Linked DNA regions of Notamacropus eugenii. Each later gene encodes a partner of the first gene's protein in a complex. Links are inferred from orthologs where the notes say so. Each region holds a gene or a part of one and is shown in the gene's direction. Other genes may lie near its edges.

What was found.
Region 2: the proteins of PRIM2 (region 1) and PRIM1 are in contact, whole or in part, in a crystal structure (PDB 5EXR), measured with the Homo sapiens proteins. The link is inferred for Notamacropus eugenii from reciprocal best matches to the Homo sapiens genes PRIM2 and PRIM1. Residues at the interface, in NP_000938.2 of Homo sapiens: Glu165, Ala168, Ser169, Pro171, Ser172, Phe188, Ala189, Leu192, Phe195, Arg196, Gly197, Arg198, Val200, Tyr201, Leu202, Glu203, Asp204, Gly205, Phe206; in NP_000937.1 of Homo sapiens: Lys147, Glu148, Asp149, Phe150, Gly151, Phe152, Ala180, Val181, Gly184, Ile185, Glu187, Tyr188, Ser190, Leu191, Lys193, Lys207, Ile208, His209, Pro210, Ile212, Arg213.

What each region holds. Positions count from the first base shown.
Region 1 is NC_092873.1:125,584,074-125,591,338, forward strand, and holds the start of PRIM2 (DNA primase large subunit), read left to right. Parts: upstream 1-4,262; 5' UTR 4,263-4,426; exon of another isoform or gene 4,427-4,475; intron 4,476-6,393; 5' UTR 6,394-6,401; coding exon 6,402-6,555; intron 6,556-7,265. UniProt on the Homo sapiens protein: Regulatory subunit of the DNA primase complex and component of the DNA polymerase alpha complex (also known as the alpha DNA polymerase-primase complex) which play an essential role in the initiation of DNA synthesis.
Region 2 is NC_092874.1:232,034,188-232,041,169, reverse strand, and holds the start of PRIM1 (DNA primase small subunit), read left to right. Parts: upstream 1-3,981; 5' UTR 3,982-4,116; coding exon 4,117-4,219; intron 4,220-6,982. UniProt on the Homo sapiens protein: Catalytic subunit of the DNA primase complex and component of the DNA polymerase alpha complex (also known as the alpha DNA polymerase-primase complex - primosome/replisome) which play an essential role in the initiation of DNA synthesis.

The sequences.
Region 1 (7,265 bases):
GCTTCTCTCTTTCAAGTTTCTTCTCACTCCAAATCATATGCCAAAGTGATTTTCCTCAAATACAGATTGGATCATGTCATTCTTTACTCCAACTCATGTGACTATTACTTGTAATCATCATTAATGCTTGTGTTTAGTTTTTAAAGCCTTTCACAATTTACCCCTGATCTATGTTTCTGGTCTCACTGCCCTTTCCACCCTCTATGATCCAGCTAAGCTGGCTGTTTCCCATGTCCTCTCTAACCCTTCCCTATGCAGTGGACCATCCCTTCCAAGAAAGCATGAAAGAGAGAGAGAGAGAGAGAGAGAGAGAGAGAGAGAGAGAGAGAGAGAGAGAGAGAGAGAGAGAGAGAAGGAGAGAGAGAAGGGAGAGAGAAGGAGAGAGGGAGGGAGAGAGATGTTTATCAAAACCAATTAGCTAGACAACCATGTTGGACAGTATATACAATATTTTATACCCGTAGTTCCCCATCTTGGTAAACAATCTAAACAAGTTTCAAAGGACAAAACTACACTCAACCACATTGTGTCTCAAGAACAGTGTCAGAGGGTAAAACGACAGTCTTAACTGTGGGTGTACCCTCAAGCTTTGGTCCATAGCCATCTTTCTATGCTTTGTTAATCTTGCTTACTGTTAAAAGAAACATAGGCACATACACCCAAACACCCACTCTTCACATGGTTGTACATTCTGCCTTATGCCTTTGTGTACTATTAGATGAAATCTTCCCCTTACTAGCTAAATCTATCTATGTATCTATCTATCATCTATGTATCTATCTGTCTTTGCTGTGTTAACCACCACCACTGTCAATAATGAAAAGTTTACTACGTGAAACCCAAAAACTTTGGGGAGTCAGGTTGTAATCCTCCTGAGCAATTGTTTTTTATTGTTTGAATCTGCTTTTATCCTGAGAAAAGATACTGATGAGTATTTATTGTTAGTTGCCATCTGGATCTCCTTAATGACAATGGTGAACATCTTTTATGAGTATACACCTTTATAGCTTGATTACTATTAATGATCAGAGGGTTTCCAAAGAGGTTCTCCTTTTTATATATTTCACAGAATCTTGTATAATTTTACCACATGGACAGGAAGTATTTTTGTAGGAGGAGAGCATCTTGTCCCGCTGAATCAAATACTTTTTTATGGTCATCAATATAAAAAAATAATCACTGCGATCTTGTATTTTGTTAATTGGGTGATGGTAAAAAAAAATTGTGGTCTATTTTAGAATCCTCTTTGCAAAAGCTAATCTCTTTCCTTCTAATGAATTCCCTCATTAGTGAATTTGTATAGGTTTTAAAAGTGAGCATGTCTGGGAAGCTACTAGTGTTTTTTGTTGTTGTTGTTGTTGTACTAATAAAGTTTGAGATTTATTTTTTTCAGTTTTGACATTTTCTCCTCCTTCAGATAGCTTGAGAATCAATCCTTAACACCTTCAAAACTGTGTCACTTCCAACACAGACTTCCTCTTTATATCTTTGGTCTAGTAGTTATTTTTTTTCAGTTTTTGTTTTCTTTAGTGCTCTTTCTATTTCCTCATACAGCACATTCCCAGCTATGATGTTACAACCAGAATACATTGTCCTTGATGGAGAAAGAGTTTGTTATAAAAAAAATTGCAGATCTTTCTCACAGAGTTGTGTGGCACTCCTTAGATCTTATCTTTTGCTTCTATGATTCTAATTTTTTAAAAATTTGATTTTTTATTGACATTGTTGGTTTTTATGTCATCTTAATTTATTAATATATTCATTCCCTTTCACTACCTAGTGGGCCATCCTTCCTAACAAAGCATGAGAGGGAAAAAAATTCATCAAAACAAACCAACTTGTTAAATCTCAATATCTATATGAAACAGATTTTAACTGAAGAAACAACAACCACCAAAAAAACCCAAACACAAATGCAAAGCAAACTAAGAATATATTTTCAAGCTATGTGGACTTCATAAGAGCTGTGTGCCTGAAGTTGCTTTGGTAGGGAGGACACAAAGGATGAAAAGAGATACTCCACCTCCAGAGTCCATGGATCCTAGGAAAAGAAAAGGGTAACAGCAATCTCAAATGAGTTGAAGGATCATTGATTTAGAAGGTGCTGAGGAGGTAACTTTGACATCAAGTCCAGTTCTCTCATTTTACAGAGGAAGAACTGAAGCCCTCATTGCCCAAGGTTAAACAGGTAGAAAGTAGCCCCTCATCCAGTCCAGGACTGGGATTTCAACCCTGATCTTTTGATTCCAAATCCAGCTTTTCCCACTGTATCTGCCATCACAGTCAGGCCCTGAAGAATCTCTTCTTTTGCTCTCTATGTTTAGGGTTCTGCAGCAGCCAGTGACCATCCTCACCTTGAGGCCGAAATCTAGAGTTATTCTGATGCTCCAAGAGCTGACAAAAACTTTAGGGAATCTTAAAAAAAAGTGATACTGATGAATGAATTTTTCCTTCTCTCTGGTTGGACCTAATCAAGCTCATATGTTCACACTTGGGTCAATTTCTGGCCAGGCCACAAACTCTTATCCCTGCAGGGCTCCATCAGTGCTAGGGTTGCAGTCAACCCTCAACACCCCTTACCTCTCTTTAACATCTCATCTTTCAACATCTCTTTACCTCGATGCACATCCCAGTTTCCATTATAAAGAACCGATACTTCCCCCATCAATCAAGCAATCAGTGTTTATGATCACTTTTTTTGATTTTTTTGAGCACTTACAAAGGCAAAAGCTGTCCCTGCTCTCAAAGAGGTCACAGTCTAAGAGGAGAGATAACATGCAAACCGCCATGTATGAATGATATATTTAGGCTGAATTGGAGATAATCTCAGGGGAAAGACTGCTAGCCTCCTTAATGCTAGTGCCCCGTCTCTAAGAGGTATCTTGAATTTATCTTGTAACATATCTTATTTGTAAAAGGTTTCTTGCTAAAAGTGGGATTTTATTAATTAATTTATTTGTTTTCAGTTTTCTATAATCACTTCCATAAATCTTAAGATTTTCTCCCCCTTTGTCCCTCCTTCTTCCTGACTCCCCCCGCCTCCCCAGACTGCATGCATTCTTATATGGGTTCTACACATCCATTCTTACTAAATACATTTTCAACTTAGTCATGTTGCATGGAAGAATTAAAACAAATGGGAGAAACCATGAGAAAAACCAAATCAAAACAAAACACAAGAGAAAATAGTCTGCTTCATTCTGCAATCCAATTCCATAATTTTCTGTGGATGTGGATGACATTTGCCTCAAGAGTCCACTGGGAATTTTTTAGATCCTTGCATCGCACTGCAGTACTAAGTCTGCCAGAAAAATTCCTCCCACACTGTGGTTGTTGTTGTATACAAAGTTCTCCTGGTTCTGCTCCTTTCACTCAGCATCAGTTCCTGTAAGTCCTTCCAGGCCTCTCTGACATCTTCCTGTTCATCATTTCTTATGCCACAACAGTATTCCATTACATTCATGTACCATAATTTATTCAGCCGTTCCCCAGTTGATAGGCATCCCCTTGATTTCCAGTTCTTGACCGCCACAAAGAGAGCTGCTATAAATACTTTTGTACATGTGGGACCCTTTCCCATTTCTATGATCTAGAAGCACTAGTGCTGGGTCAAAGGGTATGCACATTTTTGTGACCCTTTGGGCATAGTTCCAAACCACTCTCCAGGATGGTTGGATGAGCTCACATCTCCACCAACAATGAATCAGTGTTCCAACTCTCCCACATCCTCTCCAGCATTGGCCGTCTTGTTGTTCTGCCGCCTTAGCCAGCCTGATAGATGTGATGTGGCACCTCAGAGTGGTTTTGGTTTGGGACTCTCTAATCAGTAGTGATTTAGAGCATTTTTTCATAGGACGACAGATAACTTTAATTCCTTCCTCTGAACCCTGCCTGTTTATATCCTTTGACCATTTATCAACTGGGATGAAGGTGGGATTTCAGAGGCGACAGGAGGAAACCAGGAAAAAATAAAAACAAAAATCCAAACCAAACAATCTGTCCCTCCCTTCAGAGAGCGGACAGCCTGACGGGTACAGAGGCGTATACAAATCAGAACACACTAGATAGATTGTAGAATAAATGGGTGCGTCCTTGGAGTAAGTGAACCCCGCTTCCGGGATGCCACCACAGAAGAACCAGCCCGAGCCTGGGGGACCTGGAACTTCAGGGGCGGGGCGGAAGGACGGCGGAAGCAGGGCGGGGCTCCGGGAGCTAGGGGGCGGGGCGCCAGGCATGAGGGGCGGGGCCAGCCCAGAGGGGGCGGGCCTGGCCTGGCCCTGGGGGCGGGGCCAGTCCGGGGGCGGGACCGGCGCGAGTGGTGACGACTTCCGCCTCCATCCGAAATCTCCCGCCTTTGAGAAGCGCTGAGTCCTGGTTCTGAAGGGAAGGGGTCCCGGCACGTTTAGGGCACTTGGGGCTGCCGCAGGTAACAGCTTCGCGTGAGGGTCTTGGGACGCGTTTCCTCTTTCCACCCTGTGAGTAGGTTGGCTTTGTTTCCCCGGGTCCGGGGAGTCCCGGAGTGTGTGCCGGGTCCCTGCTTCCCCTTGCGGGGACTGGGCTTGAGAAGCGGGGCTGGTACTGGGGGGCCTGGGGGGAGAGGGAGAAGCTTGTGCCGGGTGAGTGGTGCCTGGGGGGCGGCGCGCTTCGCCTCCCTGGGAGCTCCACGTCTGGGAAGGTCGAGCTCTGGAATCTCCATGCTTGCGTCCCTCCCCATCCTGTACCCCCCCCCCCCCCCTTTACCCTCTGGGGGCCATTGAGAGTAGCAGGACCTCCGTCCGGGTAGGGAGGGCTTGAAAACCGGGGGTGTGGCGCCCGGAGCCACGGCGTGACTGGGTCGGGTCACAGGCAGCAAGTGTGGCCGGGAGGGCTGCGCTTGAGATCCGGTGAGGCCATGGTTTGAACACCACCTTCTGCACTTAATAGCAGATCACTTAACCTTTGCTAAGTCAGTTTTCTCGTGGGGCTAATCCCGATTGTAGTGTCCCCTCTTTCTCAGTCGTTCTGGATCCTTTCTGACCTCACTTGGGGTTTTCTTGGCAAAGACACTGGAATGGTTTGGCACGTCCTTCTCCAGCTCGTGTTAGAGAGGAGGAAAGTGGGGCAGATTGGGTTCAATGACCTGTCTGGGATCACACAGCTAGGAAGTGTCCGAGGCCACATTCGAACTTGGGAAGATAGGTCTTCCTGACCTTAGGTCTGACACCATCCACCGGGCCATGGTGGTTCAGACAGAGTGAGAAGTGACTGCGTCTCTTTATCAATTTATATACAGTGGCAGCATGAACCAAGAAGCAGTTGTGTCTCTCCATTTATATACCGTTCTTTCATGATCTATTTAACAATTGGATTTTACATATGTCGTGTTTAATTGTTTAGATTTGACCTTGCACTTTTAACGTGACTAGGTATTGGATTGTTTATCCCTGTCAAAGGTAATATATGGTCAAAACGACTTGTAAGTCTGTTCCCTTAGCTGAATAAAGTAAAAATACCTATGATTGTGGCCAAGCCATTTAACTTTTCAGTGGCCAGCTGTTCTGTGTAGGTGGAACAAGATTTCCAACCCAGAGTTCTCCACACTAATGAAAGCACATTTCGAGACTGAAAAAAAAGAGAAAAGAAAAGGAAAAAGGCACCTGTTTCATAAAGTTGTATGTAAAGCAGTTTGCAAGATGGTATAAATGTTAAATGTCATTGATTGGCACAGATTTTTTAAGTGAAATTGATGGGCCACTGCACTCCTCTTTGTCCTCCTACTCCTCATAATAAACATATATGTCTGTAGTTCTGTAAGGTGTATAGTGTATTTTTCTTACAACAGCTCTGTTAGGCAGATAGTATAAGTGTTGATAATAGCCAACATTTACTTAGGGACTACTATGTGCCAGGCACTGGAATAAGTACTTTACAACTATTATCTTATTCGATGCTCGTAACTACTCTGGGAGGGAGCTGCTATTATTATCCTCATTTTACAGTTCAGGAAACTGAGGCAGAAAGAAGTTAAATGACTTTCTCAGGGTCACACAGCTAGTAAGTATCTGATTGGATTTGAATTCAGTCCAAGGGAGAGCTGATGATCACCTGAACTAAGGTGACAGCTTGGAGATGGATAAGAAACATGGTGTGGAGGTTATCAACAAGCAATCATCATGAGACATATGTGAAAACCAGGCTTATTACAAGAGAAATGAACGTGCATGTGGAACCCAAAGAGTTCAAGTCTTTACAGAATGTATAATTGGTAGAATTCCTTACTCTGAGACCAGTAACACATACCTCTTAACATGTATGTTGGTGAAAATTAGGAACGCTCCTCAAGTGGGCAAAGTTGAAAGCTGTCTTGCTATATTTTCAACTAATCTTTATTTATTTATTTATTTATTGCTTAAGTAACAAAGATGCAGTTTTCTGGATCAAGGAGAAAGAAACTGAGTCTGGCAGGGGACCAGAGAGGTGCTTCCTATCCTCATAGCCTTCAGTTCTACCTACAACCTCCTTCTGAAAACATATCTTTGGCAGAGTTTGAGAATCTAGCTATTGAAAGGCTTAAACGTGAGTGATATTTTACATTGTAACTGTTTAAGCAAGGTAACTTTGTATGTTTAAGTAAGGTAATTTTGGATCACTCATTTCTTTGAAATTCAGGTACATGTTAGCCCTGAATTCTAATTTACCACAACTGTTGACTTGAAGTGGGTTCTGAAATGGTTAGTACTGTTGGGAAGGATAGATAAGTTACTTCCTTTCTTTGTTTTTTGAATTTTAAATAATATTTTATTTTTTTCCCAATTGTACATAAAAACACTTTTTAACATTTTTTTTAAATTTTGAGTTTCAAATTCTCTCCTTCTCTCCCCTTCCCCCTCCTTGAGAGGGTAAGCAATTTGATGTAGCTTATTCATGTGCAGTCCTACAAAAGAAATCCCTATATTAATCATATTGTGGAAGAAAACACAAAAACAACACCAAAAATAAAGAAAGCAAAAAAAAAAAGAAACCCAACATGCTTGGATCTTCAGACTCCATCAGTCTTTCTCTGGAGGTGGATGGCGTTTTTAATCTTGAATCCTTTGGAATTGTCTCGGATTATTCTGTTGCTGAGAATAAATTAGGATCATTGTAGTACGTTGCTGTTACTGTGTACCATGTTCTCCTGATTCTGATCACTTCAGGATAAGTTACTTTCAAAGAGCCATTGATTGCTAAGTGTAACAGTTTCTTCATGGCAATCATTTTGATGACTTGGTGTCTATATTTCTGCA
Region 2 (6,982 bases), on another chromosome or scaffold:
AAGATCAAACAGAAGAAAAACAATGAGGAGAGTGTGGTGTCACAGAAGAAAAGAAAAGATGGCATTTCCAGAAAGGTTTGATCTAGATGAGGGGTTCTTAACTTGGGTTCCAAATACCCCTCAGGTGGTACTTGGAATCTATTTGCATAGATTTCAAGAGGGGATCTATGAACTTGGGACTTTTAATAATTTTGATAATCATATTATATAATAATTGATTTCTTTGTAATCCTATGTATTTTATTTTATTTCATACATTTAAAAACATTTATTCTGAAAAGAGCTCTAATAGGCTTCACTAGACTGCCAAAGGGACCCTGGACACTAAAATGGTTAAGAACCCCCAATCAACACAGGGCTTCCAATGTTGCAAAGAAACAGAATGAAGAATGAGAAAAGGTTACTGGATTTAGCAGTTGATAACTTTGGAGACAGCTATTGATCTTGGAAGAATGACAAGGGCTTTTCAAATGCTGCCAAATCCTGACTATCTTAAACAATCCTAGCTGTGGAAGTCCAGCAAAAGGAGAATCCTGGGACTACTTCTGGAAACCAGATTTTCAGGCTACTTACAAAAACTATGTAACCTATGTCAACCATTATAGTTTGTTCTAAGAAACAAACAAAATTAGGCTGCAAGGTGTCAACCTGAAAATTTGGTTAAAGGAGGCAAACAGGCTAGGTGATAAGTAAATCTATATTGTTTGTTCCCTTAAAGCTAGTCTAAGCTAGCTAGCTTGTACATACAAAGTGCCAGAGTCTAAGTTCTGACTGTCTGATGAAAGAATGACCATGCTTAAATGTGTTTTAGAACAATTCCAACTCAGCATGTTTGTGTCACTTAAATTTATGATCTCCATATATGATTAGCCGTATTATGACAAAGGAATTTTCTTAATTGAATAGATGGTAAATACAAAAGATAAGAGAGTTGATAAAGTGTCCATTGAAATTATAACCTAGGATATCTGTGTTTTCTTTACCATTAACATGTCATAACATAGTATGCATCCATAAAATATTAAGATAAGAAAAGGTCTCATTATTCAAGATAGTGTCTCAGGTGAAGGGTCTCATCCTTAATGGTTGTAAACAGAGGAAAGAATGCTCTTAAGTCAGTCCCATCTGGCCAAGGTCAAGTTGACATAGGAGAGGTATTCTCAGAGAACAAAGAAGCTGTTAGTTCCAGGCTCTTCTTCTGGTTGATTAGTTCAGGCTCTGTCGCTTATTGAGGTTATTAAATTGATATTAAATGATTATCAATGGGCAAGCTGATTTCTCTCAAAGCTGGCAAATCATGCATATAGAGATATACATGAGAGTTCGTTGTGAAAATGAGTCCAAGGAAGAATGGAAAAGGGGGACCTTATATCTTCAGAGCAATTTAATTTCCTCTCACTCCTCCCTCCCTTCCCTGCTCAAGATACCTGTGTCAGACAAAATTATAGTCTCCATATGTGTTAACCATAATATGAAAAAGGAATTTCTTAGTAGGATAGATTGCCCATACAATAATATTAAAGAAGGGTCAAAATGTCAATTAAAATTCCAGTCCAAAATGTCTGTGTTTCTTCTATCATCAACATGATATAATATAACAATGTAATTTAATATAACATAATGAAATATAATATAATGTAACATAATATATGTCCATAAACTGCCAAGATAAGAAAAGTGCCATTATTCAAGATAGCATCCCATTCAAGGTGAGTTGTCCTTGGCAGTCAGGAATGTTTCTGGACAGTTTCATCCAGCCTTGTAGTTATTGACACAGGAAGGAGCATTTTAGGTTCACTCAGAGAGCTGATCAAAGCATGTCTGCTATGCTACAGCCCGAAAAGCATTATGGTAGGTTAAGTTCAAAGTGGGCCAAAAAATGCTTTTCTCCTGATTGGTCAATCCAGGTTTTAGGCCTTTCTCAGCTGGGGGGCTCGGGGGTCAAGGAGGTTTGGGGAGGTCTCTGGCTAGTTCACACCTAGGTACTTCTCTGAATGGGAGAAATCAATGAGTAGATGAAGTTCTGCTGACTGAAAGGGAAGTCTGACTTGTGATCTGTGGATAAAATGCGCTCGACTTTCTTCCAACCCCATAAAGGTAAATTATTAGAACAAAAATGGGGATGCCACATCTTCTCCCAACTCCTTGTGAATGCATCCATCCCTCTCTCTTTTTTTTTTAACAGAAAGAAATTTATTGGGAATATTTTGAGAATACATTTGAAAGAATAGGTCAATGTTTTCCAGCAAGGTAGGGAGTAGGGATGCTCATTCACTTCAACCAGAGCAAAGGAAGCCCCATTCAACCCTCTCTACACCTTCTCTGAACATGTTGACATTCTCTCATTGCCCTTCTGGCAGGCAGAACTTCAGCACCTTCTCCAGTATTTCCTCCTGCCAGAGACATGCTCAGACTCACAAAAGCTTTCTCACCTTTGGACATTTTCCTTCAAGATTTGGATCAAATACTTAAGAAATTAGGGCTTTTCCTCGGGGTGTGATAGAGACCTGACTTGGAAGAGCCAATCGCTAAATTTTCATTGCAAGAATTTGCACCCTGAAAATCAGCAAGCTACAAATTGGGGGTTGATTTATTGTTTGGGGGTGGGTGGGAATCAAAGAAGGCTTTGTAAAGGAGGGAGTAATTAAGTTGAACCTTGAAGGAAAATATCCCTCACCAAAGCAATTGCTGCTTTTTCTCAAGGTGTGCTGGAGACTCACGAAAGTCAACTGCTAAATTTTCATTGTGAGAATTTTACACCTCAGAAATCAGCAAGCTACCAGTTAGCTTAATTTACTATTTTGTTTATGACCAAGACTCTAGATTTAAGAACGTGATAGCTTACACAGTAACAGCCATGTTGTTCAGTGACTGACTTTGATAGACTTAGCTCTTCTCAGCAAAGCAAGGACTGAAAACATCTGCAAAAGACTCATGATGGAAAATACCATCCACATCCAGAGAAAGAAATATAGAATCTGAACGCAGATAGAAGCATACTATTTACTCCCTGTTTTGTTTTGTTCTTTCTTTCTCATGGTTCCTCCCATTCGTTCTAATTCTTCTATACAATATTACGAATGTGAATAATAAGAAGTTTTTTAATAAGAAGGTACGTACATGTAGAGCCTATATGAAAGCCTATGCCTGCCTTAGGGAGGGTGGAAGGGAGGGAGGCAGAGAAAATTTAAAACTTATGGAAGTGAATGTTGAAACCTAAAAATAAATTAATTTTAAAAAAAAGAAATTGAAAACAAGAATGCTGGATTTGCAAGAAAGTAATGGAGAAAATGTTAATAATACAGATTTAACTTAAAAGTGTGTCCAGCATACAACCCTTTCCCCTATCCCAGTCAACTGTGAAACATTTACCAGCACTTTTACCCTGTCTGCCTCTCCTCCAGTTTTGTATTTATTCTTGTGCTGTATCTTCCCATACAACACGGGTCGCTTAAAGGCTGGGATTATTTGCTTTCCCTCTTGGTATCCCTAGCGCTTAAGTTGCTTCCTTGCACACAGCAGGTGCATAATAAATGTTGGATGACTGCGGACGATCTCCCTTCCTGTCTCGTTCAAACTCACTTCAAAGGTCAGTCAGTCAGGCTAATGCTTCTCTTTCTTTTAACTAAGAATTATCCCTTAATTTAATTTAACATTCATTGTTTAATGAATTCCAAATGCTCTCCCTCTTTTCGGCCCCTCCCCCGCCCAGGTAAGACATATGCTATCAATTATACATGGGAAATCATGCAAAGCATATTTCCATATTCAGGTTAAGGATTCCTGTAATTCACTTCTCTCCTCAGTGACCGGATGGGGCGGGACTGCGTGATCTTCAACGTCTTCCGGCCTCTAACGAGTCTCTCCAGTTCCCTATGGAGGATACAGAAGTAAATCAGTACTTCCTTCTTCCTTCTCGCGCGCCTGAGCACAAAGTGCTCTCTCCAGTTTACAGTGCCCTATCGAAGAACTACACGTCCCAGAAGGCCCCGCGAAAGACCCTTTCCCGTCGCGCCGCGGGCGCGCCTGTGCAGTGACTTAGACTCGGGATTCCCATTTCCCGCCAAACTGTGAGACTGGGGTTTCTCTTGCCGCTAGACAAAATCCCCGAGGCCCATGGCGGCGTTTGACCCCAACGAGCTGCCTGAGCTGCTCAAGCTTTACTACCGGAGGCTCTTTCCCTTCTCCCAGTACTATCGCTGGCTCAATTATGGCGGAGGTGACCGGGGAATGGGCTCCCGGGAGGGGAAAGCAGCTGCGGGAGGGGGCGGGGGGAGGCGTGGAGAGCCTTGGGGGCGCACGGAATAGGAGTGCCGTCCTCTCCAGGTGGGGAGAGTGACCCAGTCACCCCACTTCTGGGGCCTGGCCTCCTTGAGCCCAGCGCCTAGGAAGCGCTTTGTAAGCGTTAGCCATCCTCATCGTCATTGTTACTGTTGAAGCGCTACATAAATATCGGCTATCGCTGTTGAAGCGCTACGTAAAAGTTAACTGTATTCCTTATTGTTGTCAGATTGAAACTCTATGTAAATGGTAGCTCCCATCATCGCCGACATGCTGTGGAAATATTACCCATCATCGTTATTGTTCTTGTTGAAGCGCTGTGTGTAAAAGTTAGCCATCATCTTGGGCCGTTATTGTTACTGTCCAAGAGCTGCATAAGTGTTAGCGATCGTCATTGTGCAAGCAAGCGCTGCATAAGTGTTAGCGATCGTCATTGTGCAAGCAAGCGCTGCATAAGTGTTAGCTATCATTACTGTGCAAGCAAGCGCTGCATAAATGTTAGCTATCGTCATTGTGCAAGCAAGCGCTGCATAAATGTTAGCGATTGTCATTGTGCAAGCAAGCGCTGCATAAATGTTAGCGATTGTCATTGTGCAAGCAAGCGCTGCATAAGTGTTAGCGATCGTCATTGTGCAAGCAAGCGCTTCATAAATGTTAGCGATTGTCATTGTGCAAGCAAGCGCTGCATAAATGTTAGCTATCGTCATTGTGCAAGCAAGCGCTGCATAAGTGTTAGCGATCGTCATTGTGCAAGCAAGCGCTGCATAAGTGTTAGCTATCATTACTGTGCAAGCAAGCGCTGCATAAATGTTAGCTATCGTCATTGTGCAAGCAAGCGCTGCATAAATGTTAGCGATTGTCATTGTGCAAGCAAGCGCTGCATAAGTGTTAGCTATCATTACTGTGCAAGCAAGCGCTGCATAAATGTTAGCTATCGTCATTGTGCAAGCAAGCGCTGCATAAATGTTAGCGATTGTCATTGTGCAAGCAAGCACTGCATAAGTGTTAGCTATCGTCATTGTACAAGCAAGCGCTGCATAAGTGTTAGCTATCATTACTGTGCAAGCAAGCGCTGCATAAATGTTAGCTATCGTCATTGTGCAAGCAAGCGCTGCATAAGTGTTAGCTATCGTCATTGTACAAGCAAGCGCTGCATAAGTGTTAGCTATCATTACTGTGCAAGCAAGCGCTGCATAAGTGTTAGCTATCGTCATTGTGCAAGCAAGCGCTGCATAAATGTTAGCGATTGTCATTGTGCAAGCAAGCGCTGCATAAATGTTAGCTATTGTTACTGTGCAAGCAAGCGCGGCATAAATGTTAGCTATCGTCATTGTGCAAGCAAGCGCTGCATAAATGTTAGCTATCGTCATTGTGCAAGCAAGCGCTGCATAAATGTTAGCTATCGTCATTGTGCAAGCAAGCGCTGCATAAGTGTTAGCTATCATTACTGTGCAAGCAAGCGCTGCATAAATGTTAGCTATCGTCATTGTGCAAGCAAGCGCTGCATAAGTGTTAGCTATCATTACTGTGCAAGCAAGCGCTGCATAAGTGTTAGCTATCATTACTGTGCAAGCAAGCGCTGCATAAGTGTTAGCTATCGTCATTGTGCAAGCAAGCGCTGCATAAGTGTTAGCTATCATTATGGAAGCGCTACATAGATACTAGTTTATCATTATTGTCCAAGTGCTACATAAATATCACCCTTATTGTTATTGAAGTGCTATATAAATATTAGTTATCGTTATTGTCCAAGCGCTGCATAAATGTTTGTTATCATTATTGTGGAAGCGCTCCATAAATCAACTATCGTTTTATTGTTGTTGAAGCGCTATATAAAAGTTATCTTCATTACTGTTGAAATGCTGTGTAAATGTTAGCCATCATCGACATTAATGCTGAAGCGCCATATAAAAGTTATCGCCATGATTGTTGTTGGACTCTGTAAACATCCTCATTACTGTTACTATCAGTGAGGTTAAAGTATTTCAGGCAAGATGAGGAGGAGCCAGGTCTTCTCTGGGGATGGCTCCTCTCCTCTCTTTTCAGTGCTTCCTCTCACCCCTTCCACATCTAAGTTACTTAATGAATTCTGGTTGGATTGCATTAGAGTAAATTTGTTCTGCTTGCTCCAGAGTACTAAACTAGGAGTAATGGGTAAAAGTTGAAGAGGAAGATGAAGCCTGGAATGAAAAGAAAGTATTTCCAAAAGTAATAGCCTTTGAGAAAGCCCTCTTCACTTAAGGCCCTTTTAAGCAAACCCTGGATGAGTACTTGATTGTGTTGTAGACTGGGTTCTTGTTTTAGTTCTGGGTTGGCCCAGATGCCCTCAGAGGTCCCATCCACCTCTGAGATTTTGAGAATTTTTCCCCTCTCCCCTCCCAGTCTTTTGAGTATCACTGCTTAGAGCTAGGGAAAAAGGAAATTAACAATTTGAGCTTTGAAATCCTAGGGCTCTGGGAACCAGGAGACCTGGGTTCTAATCTACCTTCTGCTAGCTCACTGAGAAAATGAGAGGGTTGGCATGGAATTTTGGATCCCTTGATGTTTGATCTATGAATTCTCCAGGATCATAGAGAGCTTCATAGGCCTAGAAGGGAAAAGGACCTTCAAAATCATCTAATTCAACCCTCTAATTTTACAGATGAGAAAACTGAGGCCCAGAGAGGTTTAGTGACTTTCCCAAAGTCAAATGGTTGATCAG